Sus scrofa: one gene and its partners. The main gene of each other region encodes a partner of the protein of the gene in region 3 in a complex. Links are inferred from orthologs where the notes say so. Each region holds a gene or a part of one and is shown on either strand. Other genes may lie near its edges.

Region 1 (5,101 bases), on a different chromosome or scaffold from region 3:
AGGACATGGGGTAATTGAAGAGAGTTTTAGTTAAGCTGTTTCCAAAAGTGTGTGCTGGGACAAAACAGTGAATGCTGCAGTACTTAGGACAGTTGGGAAGCCTTCCCCACCCCCATACCTGAGGTGAAAGTGGCAGGAGCTCTTGTCAGAACTTGAAAAAAGTAGTTGTGAGAAGAGGGCCTGTAATAGGAGTGATGGATTTGAATTGTGATGCAGTCAATCTCTAGCAAACCAACAAAAAGGGAGCCCAAGGAATATATATTCCTCCTTCACTCTGCTCCTGTCCTATGAACTCTTGCCACTGCTCCGTATTCACCAGTCCAGCTAGAGGGTCTGCAGTCGATGCAAGTCAAGGTCCGCCTCCAGTGACATGGGCTGCAGTGGAGAGACTGGAAGAGGCAAGCAGAAAGTTTCAGTACAGGTAGCCATCCAGTTTAATAGTTGGAAACTTTGAAGTGAATTCATTAAGTTATACTTGAACACTGATATTAGGTACAGAAGAGTGACCAAAATTATCTCAGAATTTCACATTACTTTTTGAGCTCCACTTAACTACTTTATGTCCTAACTTAAATTGTTTTTGATCTGTATCTTAAGATACTAAATTCAAAGGTAAAAACAGTAAAGTATTGCTGTTTTGCTATTACCAATGCATATTCTAAATTTTGTATATTTGCAGTGAGCTATTTTAAATTATTTAAAGTAACCATTCAACATAAATATAAGATGACCCAAATGCCCTCAATTGTAAATATTAATAAAATTCTCAAATCTAGAAAGCCTCTTTTCCTTTTCTTCTTAGCAAATAAATACTGAAATTGTCCTTTCACAAATATTTGTCTTGAGCCTCTAGCTAGCCTTGCTGACACCTTAACCATGTCCTTCTTTTTTAATTCTTTCTTTGAGTGATTTGCTCTCAAGCACAAGTTTCCCCATCTCATTTGATTTGTTTAAACCAGTCAACATCATAGTACGGTGTGCCGACTGGAGCCAGGCTATCAGGGCTGGATGCTGGATCTACCACGTAGGAGCTATGCAATCTGTGACTAAGTTCTTCATTTTTAAATGAAAGGATAATCATTTTATCTCCTTTATAGAATTATTTGTGAGGTTTAAGTGTTTAAAGCTCTTACAACAGTGCCTGGCATATAGTAAATGCTAGATAAACCATAGCTGCTTTCCAGCTATTCACAATATTGATGTTGCACTCACCATTTATTCATTATATGTTGCTGTCATCCCTGGTCGCAGAAAGAGGTGACTGACAGTGCTCACTAATAATCAACATAAGAAGGGTATTTTTTTTTTCATTTTTACTTGCTATTCATTATATTCATTATATTCATTGGAAGCAGTGTACTTTTTTTGAATGCTTCTACTCTCTTCAGCTTTTTATTATTACTGTTATTTTATTTTTTAAATTATATTTTTAAGGCTGTACCTGCAGCATACGGAAGTTCCTGGGCTAGGAGTCAATTCGGGACTATAGCTGGGGCCTGTGCCACAGCCAGAGCAACACCAGTTCTGAACTGCCCCTGCAATCTATGCCGCAGCTTGTGCAGTATGGGATCCTTAACCCACTGATTGAGGCCAGGGATGGGACCTACATCTTCATGGACCCTATGTCAAGTTCTTAACCCTTTGAGCCACAACAGGAACTCCCTCTCTTCAGTTTTTTAGATACATCTAATATTTTTGACCAAGTGGTATACCTCATGCCCTGTTTAGTTTCATACTGAAAAAATTCACTGTAGCTCAAAACAAAAAAGTAATGCCACCTAGTACTGCAACTAGACATTGCAATGTCTATTTTTGTCATCAGCAATTTTTTGTTTTGTTTTGTTTTTAGCTACACCCATGGCATGCATAAAATCTTAAGCCAGGGATAGAACCTGCACCACAGCAGTGACCTGAGCCACTGCAGTGACCCTAGCCATTGCAGTGACAGCTCTGGATCCTTAGCCACAAAGGAACTCCTATTGTCAGTGATTTAAAAAAATTTTTATTGCATATGTTATATTTTACGTGTTCTGAAAGTGGTTGATTGACTGCATAGAATTGGTGAAATACTAAAGAGGTAGTGGTTGGGCTAATACTCTAAAAATGTTTAGGGTTAAGACCTTCTTGGTGAATCCCACTCTAGACCCTAGGAATCATCTTCAGCTTGAAGAACCATTAGGAAAACTGAAGATATTTCTGGGTGATCCTGATATTTTTGTTTTGAAATAGGCAAATACCCTTCAGTTCGAATCACAGGAAATTGTTGATTTTTGATTTTTTTTTAACATTAACGACAAAAAGGCAGTTTCATATGTAAAGGTGCAGTGTGATGAAACCACTCTGAACCTGGTGTGAGCACTTGGCAGCACATTTTGGCCATGAGGTCTTCTGTAAGCTCTAAATGCTGAAAGGCAGTGTTTCTTCCTTCTTTATTTTTCTAGGTGTTGTGGAATATTTAAGCAATGGAGGAGTAGCTGACAACCATAAAGACTTCAAGGAACTAAGGTACAATGAGTGTCTTATGAACTTCAGCTGCAATGGAAAGAATGGAAGCTCAGAAGGGAGAATCACACATGGCTTCCAACTGAAGAGCGCCTATGAAAATAACTTGATGCCTTACACCAATTACACCTTTGATTTCAAAGTGAGTGACAGCCCCTGGGCTGACATAGAAATTATTTCAAATGCAAACATGTGACAAGAAAGGTATATGTTATTTATGCTCAATTGTATAATCTTCAGGAATTTTTAGATTCTCAAAATGTCTTGGCTGAGTGTGCACTGAAATATAAGGAGATTTGTTAGGTTTTGTGGTTTTTATTGTTGACTTGAAAAATTTTAACCCTCATTTGGTCAAATTTCATATTGCTGTGTGTGTGCCAGGCACTGTTCAAAGGCACTTTATATTTATTAATGTAGTCAATATTCACTTGTCCATACCATCCCTAACTTTCAGTAAGGATCTGAAGCATAAGCAGCTTGATATAGATAGCTAAACTCACCATGAATGACATTGTATCGTATTCCCTCAAAATTCTGTTAGGACTTTCCATTATATCTTACTTATTTCAAAAATTTCCAGTTTTCTTTGGGAGATAGAATGAGAGAGGGTTGTACTTAGGGTCTGTTTTACATCCATATTGTCATACTAATATATTTGTAGGCAGTAGACCACTCCAGCTTGATAAAAGGACAAGAAAGATTTTTCTTTATAAAATAAGATAAAAACAGAGGGCCAGTTGTTCTTTTGAAACATTGATTGGTAGTGGTTTTCTGCAGTTATTAGTCCCTTTCCCTTTGCCACTTTTCTGATCACCCTGTCTGCCTATAGCTTTCCTGCTGTACCTTTGTTTGACTTTGTAGCATTTCAGGCATCTATACTAAAATCTTATACTGTCCTAAAAAAATGCAGATGGTAGAAAGTGGTTAAGAGTAAGAAGCCTAGAGAGAATTTAATAAAATACAAAAGGAAATTTATGAAATGGGCCCTTATACATCTCTGGAAACCTTTTTCCATTTTCAATGCTTGTTAGCCTCTTCCCAAGAAACAGTAGGAAGAAGATAGGAAATTCATGTGCCGATGTTATTGGTCAGTTTTTATAAGAAAGAAGTGGGAAAAAATGTTTAGAAATTGAATCTAGTTTTAGTATTTTTGCTGTAAGAGTAGATAATACTATTCAGAGATAATTTATTTTGTTCAGATGATTCATGTGCAGAAATGTGCTGATAAATATTTAATAACTAGCTTTTTGAGAAAGAAGAAGCCTAAATTTATAGTGTTGGCTGATTTCTGTGGTACAGGTACTCTCATTGTGGTAGATTTCAAGCTCCCAACATAATACCATTGAACACAGAATTGGGATGAAGTGCTAAGAAAGCAGATCCTAGCTGACTATCACACCCCTGCCCCTGTGTAAGCTTAAAGGAAAACCTCTGGATTTCACGATACACAGTTTACTATAGGTTAAGCTGTATACACCGGTATGTAATACATCTCTGCGAACACAACCCACAACCTAAAAAAAAGTTCCTTAAAGTAAGTGTTCAGTGATTCTACAACTCTTGTTGTTTTGGTACATGTGTAGGAAAAAGACCAGGTCACTTCTACCTTAACTAGGCTTCTATACAGGTTATTTTATCCATAAAGTCAATATTGGGAAAAAAAAATTTGGAATATTAATCTAAGCTATCTTATTTCCTCAGACATCTCATTTGCTTTAAAATCTTTTGTTGATGTTTCCTCAAAAGATTTTATATGTGTTAATAATTGAATAAAACATCCTAATGAACCATTTATATTGTCTGAAGAAGTACAGTGAAAGAACCAAAAGTACATGGCTCAGGGAGTGTTTGCTATTTGCATATGTAGGATAGGATGAGAAAGGACAGAACTACAAACCTGTGTGAGAGGGTCATGAATGGGAAGATAAATACACTGGCTGGCTGGGTAGATGGACAGGAAGCTGAAATAAGATGGGAAAGAAGGATGATCAGAACAAACTAAGGGTATCCCTGCCTAGAGAGAGAATTAAGCTTTTAGTCCAAGTAACCCACAGTAAGCTTTTCAGTTTCTTACTAAGCATTTTATGTGCTGTACCAATATTGAAGGGACTTGGTTAAAAAGGATAGGTAGCATCAAATATATAAATGTCTTGTGGGGAGTTCTCTTGTGGTGCAGCGGGTTAAAGATCCGGTGTTATCGCTGCAACAGCTTGGGTTGCTGCTGTGGTGCAGGTTTGATCCCTGGCCTGGTTACTTTTATATGCTATGGGCTCAGCCAACAAGTAAAAAAATTAAAATGTCATGTGGGTATGGAGTTCCTGTTGTGGCGCAGCAGAAACGAATCTGACTGGGAACCATGAGGTTGTGGGTTCGATCTCTGACCTTGCTCAGGGGGCTAGGGATCCAGTGTGGCTGTGGCTGTGGCTATGGCTGTGGCGTATGCCAGCAACTACAGCTCCGATTTGACCCCTAGCCTGGAACCTCCATATGCAGCGGGTACACCACTGAAAAGCAAAAGCAAAAAAAAAAAAAAAAAAAAAAGTCATGTGATTATCATTAAAACCAGAACCAGATATAGTATATAGTATTCTGCCATTGC
Region 2 (4,490 bases), on a different chromosome or scaffold from region 3:
TACTCCTTGAGAACCAAATGTGCTTTGTCACCAGCCATTTTTTAATTTCTAAAATATATTTTATATACCTTTGTACACAATTAATGGATTACAAAATGGAACTTTTCCTTAATGATTCTCCTCATTTTTATTATCAATGATTGTTTTGGGCTTGTGTTCATCTGTCCTTTTTCTCCACTTTTTTTTTTTTTTTTTTTTTTGCATTTCTGCTCTCTTATATCCTAGTTTTGCATTTCTAACCTTGTGGAAAAAATAATCATTCAGGTTAAATTATCTGTTAGAATAGTGTGAGTATTGTGTTAACCGGTTCTTAATTTTGGAGAGGAGGGTTGTTTGGACTCCTTTGAGAAACAGTTGAAAACTGACAGTTTTGTTTTGTTTTTTCAGTTTGACTTTGGAGAATCCATTGTACTGTAGATAATGATTTAACCGTGGGAACAGATGAGTATATAGAGTTGAAGAGAGACCAAAGTAGACTCTGGGGGAAAACTAACATGTAAATGATAGTAACCAGAGAGAAGGAAAACTGGGATAGTATGGAAACTTAAATGCCAAGGAAAGAAAGGTTTTCTGGGGGAAAAAGGAGTGAGTGTTAAGCTTCATAAAGATACCGATGGAGTTGTTTCACTGGAGAGCTGGTCAGAGAAACTAGAATATGATGAGTTGAAGAATAATGAGCAATGAGATAGGAAAAACCAACTTTTAGATTCTTATTTCAAGCAGATTGTTTGAAGAAGAGGTGAGGGTGATAACCAAAAGATGGAAAAGATTAGGGTTGTTGTTGTTTTTTCTCTTGTTCCTATTACTGATATAAAGTTAGGAAGAAGACACTTGAATGCACCTAAATGCTTTTGCCTGTGAAGGAGAGGCTGAAGTTATAGGAAGAGAGAAGCAAACCGAGAGTAACTTAGCCGTGTGCCAGATGCTGTGTGCCTGGGTGCTTTTGAGAGTATGGAGAGCAGAGATCTGGTGGGAGAGATAAGTCTCAACCACACAGATGAGTGTATAGTTACACCTTGCCGTGTGCATTAGCAAGGGGAGAGAATCAGAGGTGGTAGGTGCTATTAAGTGAGTAATTCATACAGGATTCAGGAAGGTTTGAGTAAAGTGATTAAACTTGGCAATTGAAAGTTAAGAAGCAATTGGCCAGATCACAAGTATTCCAGACAAGAAGGGACAGCATAGCATGTTGGAAGCCCTGGGGCAGGAAAGAGCTTGGCATCTGTAGGGAATGTACCCCCACTTCACCACCACCATGACCATGGCCCCCACCCAGAATAAGCACTGGTATAGCAGTGGGATAATGAGCAAGGAAAGGTGTCACAAATTAAATTAGGAAAGAGAAGCAGAGGCCATAACAAGAAGGATTCTTTAGGTTGCCTTAGAGATTCTGAAAAGATCCAGATGGGAGGAAGAATGATTATCGTCCCTAAACTTTCTTCATTCTGACTTTGGGGCACCATTTGGTTTATATAGTACTGCCTTTTCCTGTGGGCTAAGTTTCTTTGTTTATCCAACATGACTGTAAGGATATGTCTTGGAAAGTCTCAGTATTTCAGTGTTATCTTATGTGGGTCCTTGTCTTTTTTTTTTTTTTTTTTTTCTTTTTGCCTTCTGTTTTTCAGGGTATAATTGACTACATCTTCTATTCTAAACCTCAGCTGAACACTTTAGGCATCCTGGGACCTCTGGACCACCATTGGCTAGTTGAGAATAATATCAGCGGCTGCCCACACCCACTCATCCCCTCCGACCACTTCTCACTTTTTGCACAACTGGAGCTCTTACTGCCTTTCCTGCCCCAAGTTAACGGCATTCATCTTCCTGGCAGGAGGTAGTCAAGTACCTTCAGAGGATGACCTCAATTTCACTCATAAACTCATAAAATAATCTGAATATAGGGGAGTGAGGTATGGCCACCAGGGATTTTTTTGTTTTTCTTAATGATGATTTGAGTTTTCAATCTGATTATTTGATAAGGATATAGTATGAAAGCCAGGTGCTAGCAACAGACAAATTCTGAGCCCAATATGCTTTATATACTGTTAGACAGGGATTGGTGTGTTTGCACCTATCTTTAAATTGTTACAAGTAATTTTCCTGTTTCTTCTGTCCAATATAATATTTTCATGCCTTGAAATAGGAAAATGTTGGAACAGCATATTCTCTTTGCACAGAAATCTGTAGCACTACTTTTTTGAGGCCAGTAATAACATCCAGAGACCATCCTTCCATACTTTACTCCCTCCTTTTTCAGACTTGTTTGTAAAATAGAGAATTTGAATTTAGCCTTTATGATTGTATATGCTCCACAGAAGACCTGATTTATGAAATTTTGTACTAAAAAATCAGATTTGGAAATGATTGTATTGTAATCTAAGGCTAAGTTGTTTTTGTTTTTTTTTTTAACCTGTTTCATGTGTTATAAAGGCCAGCTTGTAAAAGAAGTTGCAACAGACTTTCTCTGCTGATGATTTGCACTGTTAGGGTTTAGTTAGCCCTTTTGTACTACTTCTTTTTTAAATCGAGAACATTGCTCTTTAAATCTAAATCTGTTTAAAGCTTAGGACATTTTCTTGAACCAGAGGCAACTTACCCATGAATTCCTGGGGTTTAATATCTATCAGGATAGATAAGCTGAGCAGTGAATGATCTGTAGGCATTTATGGATTTGAATGTAATGCTTGATATATGTACATTCTGGTATTTTAAAATCTTTAACTTTTTTAAGTTAAAAAATTACAGCTGCTTAAGTACAGCTTCTTAACTCCTTTTTTGAGATACTTCCTGTACTATCTCCACTGTGCCTGCCTGAATTTGTTCTCACCAAGCACTGCCTGTGCATGCAGAGAAAATCTGTGCATCCTCTTTTATATTTTTAAAAATACTGTTTTAACATTTGTGAGAGTTTTATGAAAATGCTTTTTGTATGAGCTGTGGCTTTTTTTCGATTGTGAAGCATTGAATATCACATTTTGGAACATGTTCATAGGGTGGGTCCCTGGGTCTTTGCTCACCAGACCCAAGCACTGCTTCTTGGTGTCATTGCACAGTGCTGTTCGTCACCCAGAATACTACTATCATGTGAATTCTTTTTGTTTTCCATGTATTCCTTAGTCTCCATGTTTTTTTTTTAATCATTCCTTTTTTTAAAAAAGTAATTTTCCGTTTATGAAGCAGTATAAAATAAATGAAATGTATTTTCAAAACAGGTCCCTAAGACAATACTTCAGATCATTTTTAAGTGACTAAGTCATTTTAATATGTCAACCAAGCTAAAAGTTATATACCCTGTATTTTGCCCATAGTGCCATTAGTAGAATAGAGATTAAAGCCAGCTTTTTAACTTTGCAACGTTAACTTGTATATGTTCTGTTTTCATTTATTCATTTGTCTCTCAAAAATCAAATGAATTCAGAAGGAACTTGGTCTAACTGCTTTTGTTTCAACTGCAGGCAGGGGAGCAAAAGGACACCATGTATGTGAGCATTAAGAAAAGAAATTGTTGAATGTTAATAGCAATTTTTATACAGAGAATGAGTCATTTTGGATAATGACTTAAAATTTTATGAAAAATGTTCAGCACTTAAATGTGCTTATTCTGTTTTTAAGAGAAAATAAAATTCCATACTGTTTAAGTAAATGAATCTTTTTGTTTTTGTTTTTAAAAATTCTCCAGAAAGTTTTGATCTTGAATCTTTGTCTGGGACCTGGTTTTTCCTTTGAGTTTTGTTTTTTTGTGTGTATGTGTGTGGATTTTTTTTTTTTTATTTTGTTGTGACGTTTTTTGTTTTTGTTTTTGCTTTTTAAGTTGTGCTGACACCAAACACATCCAGTTTATAATCAGTACATTGGAAAGCTGGTAATATTGATATAGAACCAATGCATAACTTTTTATGGGGTTTCTGGGGGTTTTGGTTTTGTTTTGTTTTGTTTTGTAAAGTGTGAATAAAAGGTGTGTTTACTCATTTTCCCTAAACACTGTGTTGGTAATGTGCATCATGACAATTTCCAGAACGGGCAAGCTGGATCTGGTTGGACTGATGAGACCGTTTTACCTACATTATGTAATAACAGGTCCAGAAAGCTTTATGAAAGGGAGAGGGGAGAAGCACTTACTCATTTTGTATTTTTTAATGGAGGATTGTATTCTTATCATAGATACTGGAACTAGAGTGCACTTGTTAGATGCTAAAGGTTTGAGCTTTACACAGGATGTTTTCATCTGTTTTTGTTATTACCTACAGTATATTTGAATTTAGGGTAAGCATAGTAAGATATAGTGGCCTGTTATGTCTTGAAAATGTTTGTTCTTGCCTCTTCTAGGTGTACTACATTCTGTGGGTTAGTTTGAACAGCTTCTCCGAGAAGCCTTATTCAGTAGCGATAAATTAAACCAAGACTTACTTACAAATGTAACCTACAAAAGAGAAAAAAAATTGGGGTCTACAAAATAGACTGATACTTTTGCTAAGCAAGGTTTTAAGTAT
Region 3 (5,101 bases):
CTCAGAAAACAAGCAGGCAAATTAAACAGAAATAAATACAAGGGGCAGAATTTTATCTTGTTAAAATTTCTGCAAAACACCTACGCTTGTACCACAGTGTGCCAATTTAAAAATGTTGTCTATATCTTGGTCAATAGTATGTTTCCTACCTTTTGTATTTCAGCAAAATGAGATAAAAAATTGCATTTTTCCTATGAAGTGAATAAGGTTAAACATCTTTTATGTCTCTAGCCATTTTTCCATTGGGTTAATGGTCTCTTAAAGCAGATCTGGAGCAGCCACCATTAAAATTGAGAAGAGCAATATTAGAGTTCCCCCTGTGGCTCAGTGGGTTAAGGATCTGGTGTTGCTGCAAGCTGCAGCATAGGCTGCAGATGCAGCTCGCATCTGGTGTTGCTGTGGCTATGGCATAGGTTGGCATCTGCAGCTCTGATTCCATCCCTAGCCTAGGAACTTCTGTGTTCTACATGTGTGGCTGTAAAAAGGGGAGGGGGAAGGAGGAATATTTTTAGGACCTAGAAGTTCCCTGTGCATTTCTCAATTACTGCCCTCCAGCCCCATTATTAACCTGAGTTTTCTGTTAATAGTTTGCTGTCTACTGTCTAGCCCTCCCTCTTGAGCATGCCTAGAGTTTAACCATGCTTGTTCCTGATATCTGTGTATGTGGAAGCACACTGTATTTATTTAGGCTTTTTTTTTTTTTTTTTTTTTTTTTAGGGCCGCTCGCATATGAAAGTTCCCAGGCTAGGGGTCGAATCAGAGCTGCAGCTGCCGGTCTACTCCACAGCCACAGCAATGCTGGATCCTTAACCCACTGAGCGAGGCCAGGGATCGAATATGCATCCTCATGGTTACTAAGTCGGGTTCATTACTGCTGAGCCCCAACGGGAACTCCCCATTTTTATTTTTTTGTACTTTGTCAGGTATTTTTGGTGAGATGGATCCATGTTGCTGACATGTCCCTGTAGTGATGGCGGTGCATGCTGTTGTGGTATTTTCATACAGTGGAATACAGTCCTTTATCCAATCTACCCTTGATGGACATAATGTGGCTGTGAGCTTTCTTTTGTACTTTCTCCTGAAAGTGTTTCTTCTAGATGGAAAGATAAGCATATGCAAAAGTTTACTAGGTAATGGCAAATTGTTTTCCAAAGTTGCTGTGCCATTTTTCACTCCTGTCAGCAGTACATGAGTTACCTGATAGCCTCCTCTGTATCTGTTAATGTCAGCCGTGTTCATTTCTGCCAGTCTGGTGGCTGTGTAAGAGTGTCTTGTGTTCTAGCTAATTTTCCCCCTGGTTCCTAATAGGATTGAGTATCCTTTCAGATGTCTGTTCGCCATTCGTGCATTTTAAAAATAACATACCTGTTGAAGACATTAGCCTGTCTTTTCCTACGATGGGGGTTGGGGGTGTGTGTGTGTGCCCATGGGATGTAGAAATTCCTGGGCCAGGGATTGAACCCATGCCACAGCAGTGACAACACCAGATCCTTAACCCACTGAGCCACCAAGGCACTCTCTTTTTTCCTACTTTTTTTTTTCTTCTTTCCTAGGCTAGGGGTCAAATCAGAGCTGCAGCTGCTGGCCTACACCACAGCCAGAGCATTGTGGGATCTTAGCCACATCTATGACCACAGCTTGCATCAACTCTGGATGCTTAACCCACTGAGTGAGGCCAGGGATTGAGCCCGAATTCCCATGGATAAGTTGGGTTCTTAACCTACTGAGCCACAATGGGAACCCCCCCTTTTTCCCCTACTTTACAAAATTGATTTGTAGGAGTTAAAAAATACATATATATAATACATAAACTATATAATATATAAAATATGTAGTATATATTACTATACTATCTCTATATATATTGAATCTAGCCCTTCGTTTATATGTGTGGTAGGTAACTTTCTCCAGTTAGTACCTTGTCTTCTCATTCTCCCTGTGGGGCTCTCAATTTTAAAACATCTCCTGTCTTGGTTCCCTTTTTAAGAACGCCAGTCTGAGCTGCCAACTCAAAGTAAAGCCAGCTTCCCCAGCATTCTCAGTGACCCAGACCCGGATTCTTCGAATTCTGGATTCGACAGCTCGGTTGCCTCTCAGATCACGGAAGCTTTAGTCAGTGGACCAAAGCCACCTATTGAAAGTAGGTATATCTAATTTAATATGCTTTTTCTTTTTTGGTCTTTTTGTCTTTTCAGGGCCACACCTGCGGCATATGGAGGTTCCCAGGCTAGGGGTCCATTCGGAGCTGTAGCTGCCAGCCTACATCACAGCTCACAGCAATGCTGGATCTTTAACTCACTGATTGAGGCCAGGGATCAAACCCACATACTCATGGATTCTACTTGGGTTGGTTAACCACTGAGCCAAGATGGGAACTCCTAATTTAATATTCTTGATTTTATTCTATCAGCATCCCCTGAGACTTTCTGGTTTTCTTTTTTTTTTTTTTTTTTTGTCTTTTGTCCTTTTAGGGCCATATCCACAGCATATGGAGGTTTCCAGGCTAGGGGTCAATCAGGGATGTTGCTGCTGGCCTACACCAGAGCCACAGCAACACCAGATCCAAGCCGAGTCTGCGACCTACACCACAGCTCACAGCAACACCGATCCTCAACCCACCGAGTGAGGTCAGGGATCAATTGAACCCACAACCTCATGGTTCCTAATCAGGTTTGTCTCCACTGCACCATGCTGGGAACTCCAAGACTTTGTGGTTTTCTGAAACATTGTTACTTTCGTTGATGCTTAAATGTCAATTTAATGAGAAACTTACTAGTATAGTGTCTGGAACATAGTAGAATGCTCAGTAAAAGCTAGTTTCTTCTTTAATAAAAATAACCAAGTTTTTATTACATACCTATCATCAGGACACCTGAAAATAAAATTCTCTGATTTTATTGAAGTTAAGTTTACTTTGTACCTTTAGATTTTGTTTTGGTTTGGTTTTGGTTTTTTGTTTGGTTTTTATGGACGGCCACATCTAGGGAACTCCCTGTTTGGTTTCTTTTTGGCCACAGCCGCCACAGATGGAAGTCTCTGGGCCAGGAATTGAACCTGAGCTAAAGCAGTGACAACGCTGGATCCTTAACCTGCTGAGCCACCAGGAAACTCCTGTACCTTTAGTTTTGTACCTCTTTATTAATCTTATCACTATCTTCTCCATTGAAGTTTTACTTAGAGCTCTTAATTTAAAGAAAACACCTATTGAATTTGAAATAATAGCTACACTTTTTTTTTTTTTTTTTTTGGTTTTATAGGCATCTATGAGGTTCTGATGAAGGCATGCTTTCTGCTTAGGGATAAGAACATGTTCTCCAGACTATAGTGTTATCTTGAGTTTAAAACTCCTACTGTAGGAGTTCCCGTCGTGGCACAGTGGTTAACGAATCCGACTAGGAACCATAAGGTTGCGGGTTCGGTCCCTGCCCTTGCTCAGTGGGTTAACGATCCGGCATTGCCGTGAGCTGTGGTGTAGGTCGCAGACGTGACTTGGATCCCGCGTTGCTGTGGCTCTGGTGTAGGCCGGTGGCTACAGCTCCAATTGGACCCCTAGCCTGGGAATCTCCATATGCCGCAGGAGCGGCCCAAGAAATAGCAAAAAGACAAAAAAATAAAATAAAAATAAAAAATAAAACTCCTACTGTGACTTTCATGTCCTGTACAGTAGTTCTTTGGAATAAATGGGCTTAAAATTTGAAGTTTCAATGTGCAGGAAGGACCACGGTGCAGGCGAGTGTGTCCAGGCATAGCTTGGACTTGATGGGCCACCAGGAGGGTATGTAAGAGGCAAACCAGTCAGGTAGTAGGTGAGTAGCTGAACACGGGGCATCCCTACCTTAGAGGAAATTCCTCCTTTATCACATAAGTGGTACTTCTCCGGAAATGGTTAAAAACATACTTTCTGTAAATGGTTTGTAGAGATTCAAGTGCCAGTTCTGGTGATGTATGTGAAGAAATAGTGTACTTTAAAAGGGATGATTTTTTTTTTTTTGGAATCTATTTACTCTTTTTTTTGGCTGCACCTGTGGCTTGTGGAAGTTCTCAGACCAGAGATTTAAATGGTATTTTTTTTTAACTGAAGTAGTTGATTTACAATGTTGTGTTAATTTCTGCTGTACAGCAGTGTGATTCAGTTATACATGTGGGTACATTCTGTTTCATACTCCTTCCTTCCTCTCTTCCTCTCTCCCCCAACGGGAACTTCTGCAGTCAGATTCTTAACCCACTGTGCCACAGCAGGAACTCCTCATATTCTCTGCCGTTACGGTTTTGATAGGATGTTGAATACAGCTCCCTGTACTCTACAGTAGGTCCTTGTTGGTTATCCATCCTGTATAGACTAGTTTGCATCTGTTAATCCCAAGCTCCCAATCCTCTCCCTCTCCACTCCGTCCCCCTGGCAACCACAAGTCTGTTCTTTATTTCTTTGAGTCTGTTTCTGTTTCATAGATAAGTGCATTTGTGTCGTATTTTAGATTCCACATATGTGATATCATATGATATTTGTCTTAATCTGCTTATTCCACTCAGTATGATCATCTCTAGGTCCATCCATGTTGCTGCACATGGCATTATTTCATTCTTTTTATGGCTGAGTAGTATTCCATTGTGTATATACCACGTCTTTAGCCACTCCTGTCAGTGGACATTTAGGTTGCTTCCATGTCTTGGCTATTGTGCATAGTGCTCCAATGAACATAGGGGGATGCATATATCCTTTTGAATTATGTTTTTCTCCAGATAGATGCCCAGGAGTGGGGTTGCTGGATCACATGTAAACTCAAAATCTTTTTTGAGGAGACTCCAGACTCAAAAAAAATTTTCCATTGTGGCTGCACCAACTTACACTCCCACCGAAAGAGGTTTTCCTTTTTTCCACAATAAAGGGGTGATTCTTAGCCAGAAAACGGACATTTTCAGTAAACTAGAGTATATACAAATGTCAGATTCAGCAGGGGCTGGGTCCTTGAGAGGGGTAAGCCATCTTGGGCTTTATGTGGAAACCAGAGTGAGGTGGGACCTTCATTCAGAAGTTCTAGCTAGCATTTATTTTAGTGGGTTTAAAACTTAGGGATCAATATTTCATAAAATAGTTAAGGTG

Evidence for each region. Proteins that work in one complex are often made in the same cells at the same time.
Region 1: CNOT11 (region 3) and CNOT6L share a complex: the UniProt entries of both Homo sapiens proteins name them as parts of the CCR4-NOT complex. The link is inferred for Sus scrofa from reciprocal best matches to the Homo sapiens genes CNOT11 and CNOT6L.
Region 2: CNOT11 (region 3) and CNOT6 share a complex: the UniProt entries of both Homo sapiens proteins name them as parts of the CCR4-NOT complex. The link is inferred for Sus scrofa from reciprocal best matches to the Homo sapiens genes CNOT11 and CNOT6.

Annotation. Positions count from the first base shown.
Region 1 is NC_010450.4:73,202,793-73,207,893, reverse strand, and holds part of CNOT6L (CCR4-NOT transcription complex subunit 6-like), read left to right. Parts: intron 1-2,441; coding exon 2,442-2,644; intron 2,645-5,101. UniProt on the Homo sapiens protein: Has 3'-5' poly(A) exoribonuclease activity for synthetic poly(A) RNA substrate.
Region 2 is NC_010444.4:78,132,909-78,137,398, reverse strand, and holds part of CNOT6 (CCR4-NOT transcription complex subunit 6), read left to right. Parts: intron 1-1,625; coding exon 1,626-1,838; 3' UTR 1,839-4,490. UniProt on the Homo sapiens protein: Poly(A) nuclease with 3'-5' RNase activity.
Region 3 is NC_010445.4:53,070,377-53,075,477, reverse strand, and holds part of CNOT11 (CCR4-NOT transcription complex subunit 11), read left to right. Parts: intron 1-1,987; coding exon 1,988-2,140; intron 2,141-5,101. UniProt on the Homo sapiens protein: Component of the CCR4-NOT complex which is one of the major cellular mRNA deadenylases and is linked to various cellular processes including bulk mRNA degradation, miRNA-mediated repression, translational repression during translational initiation and general transcription regulation.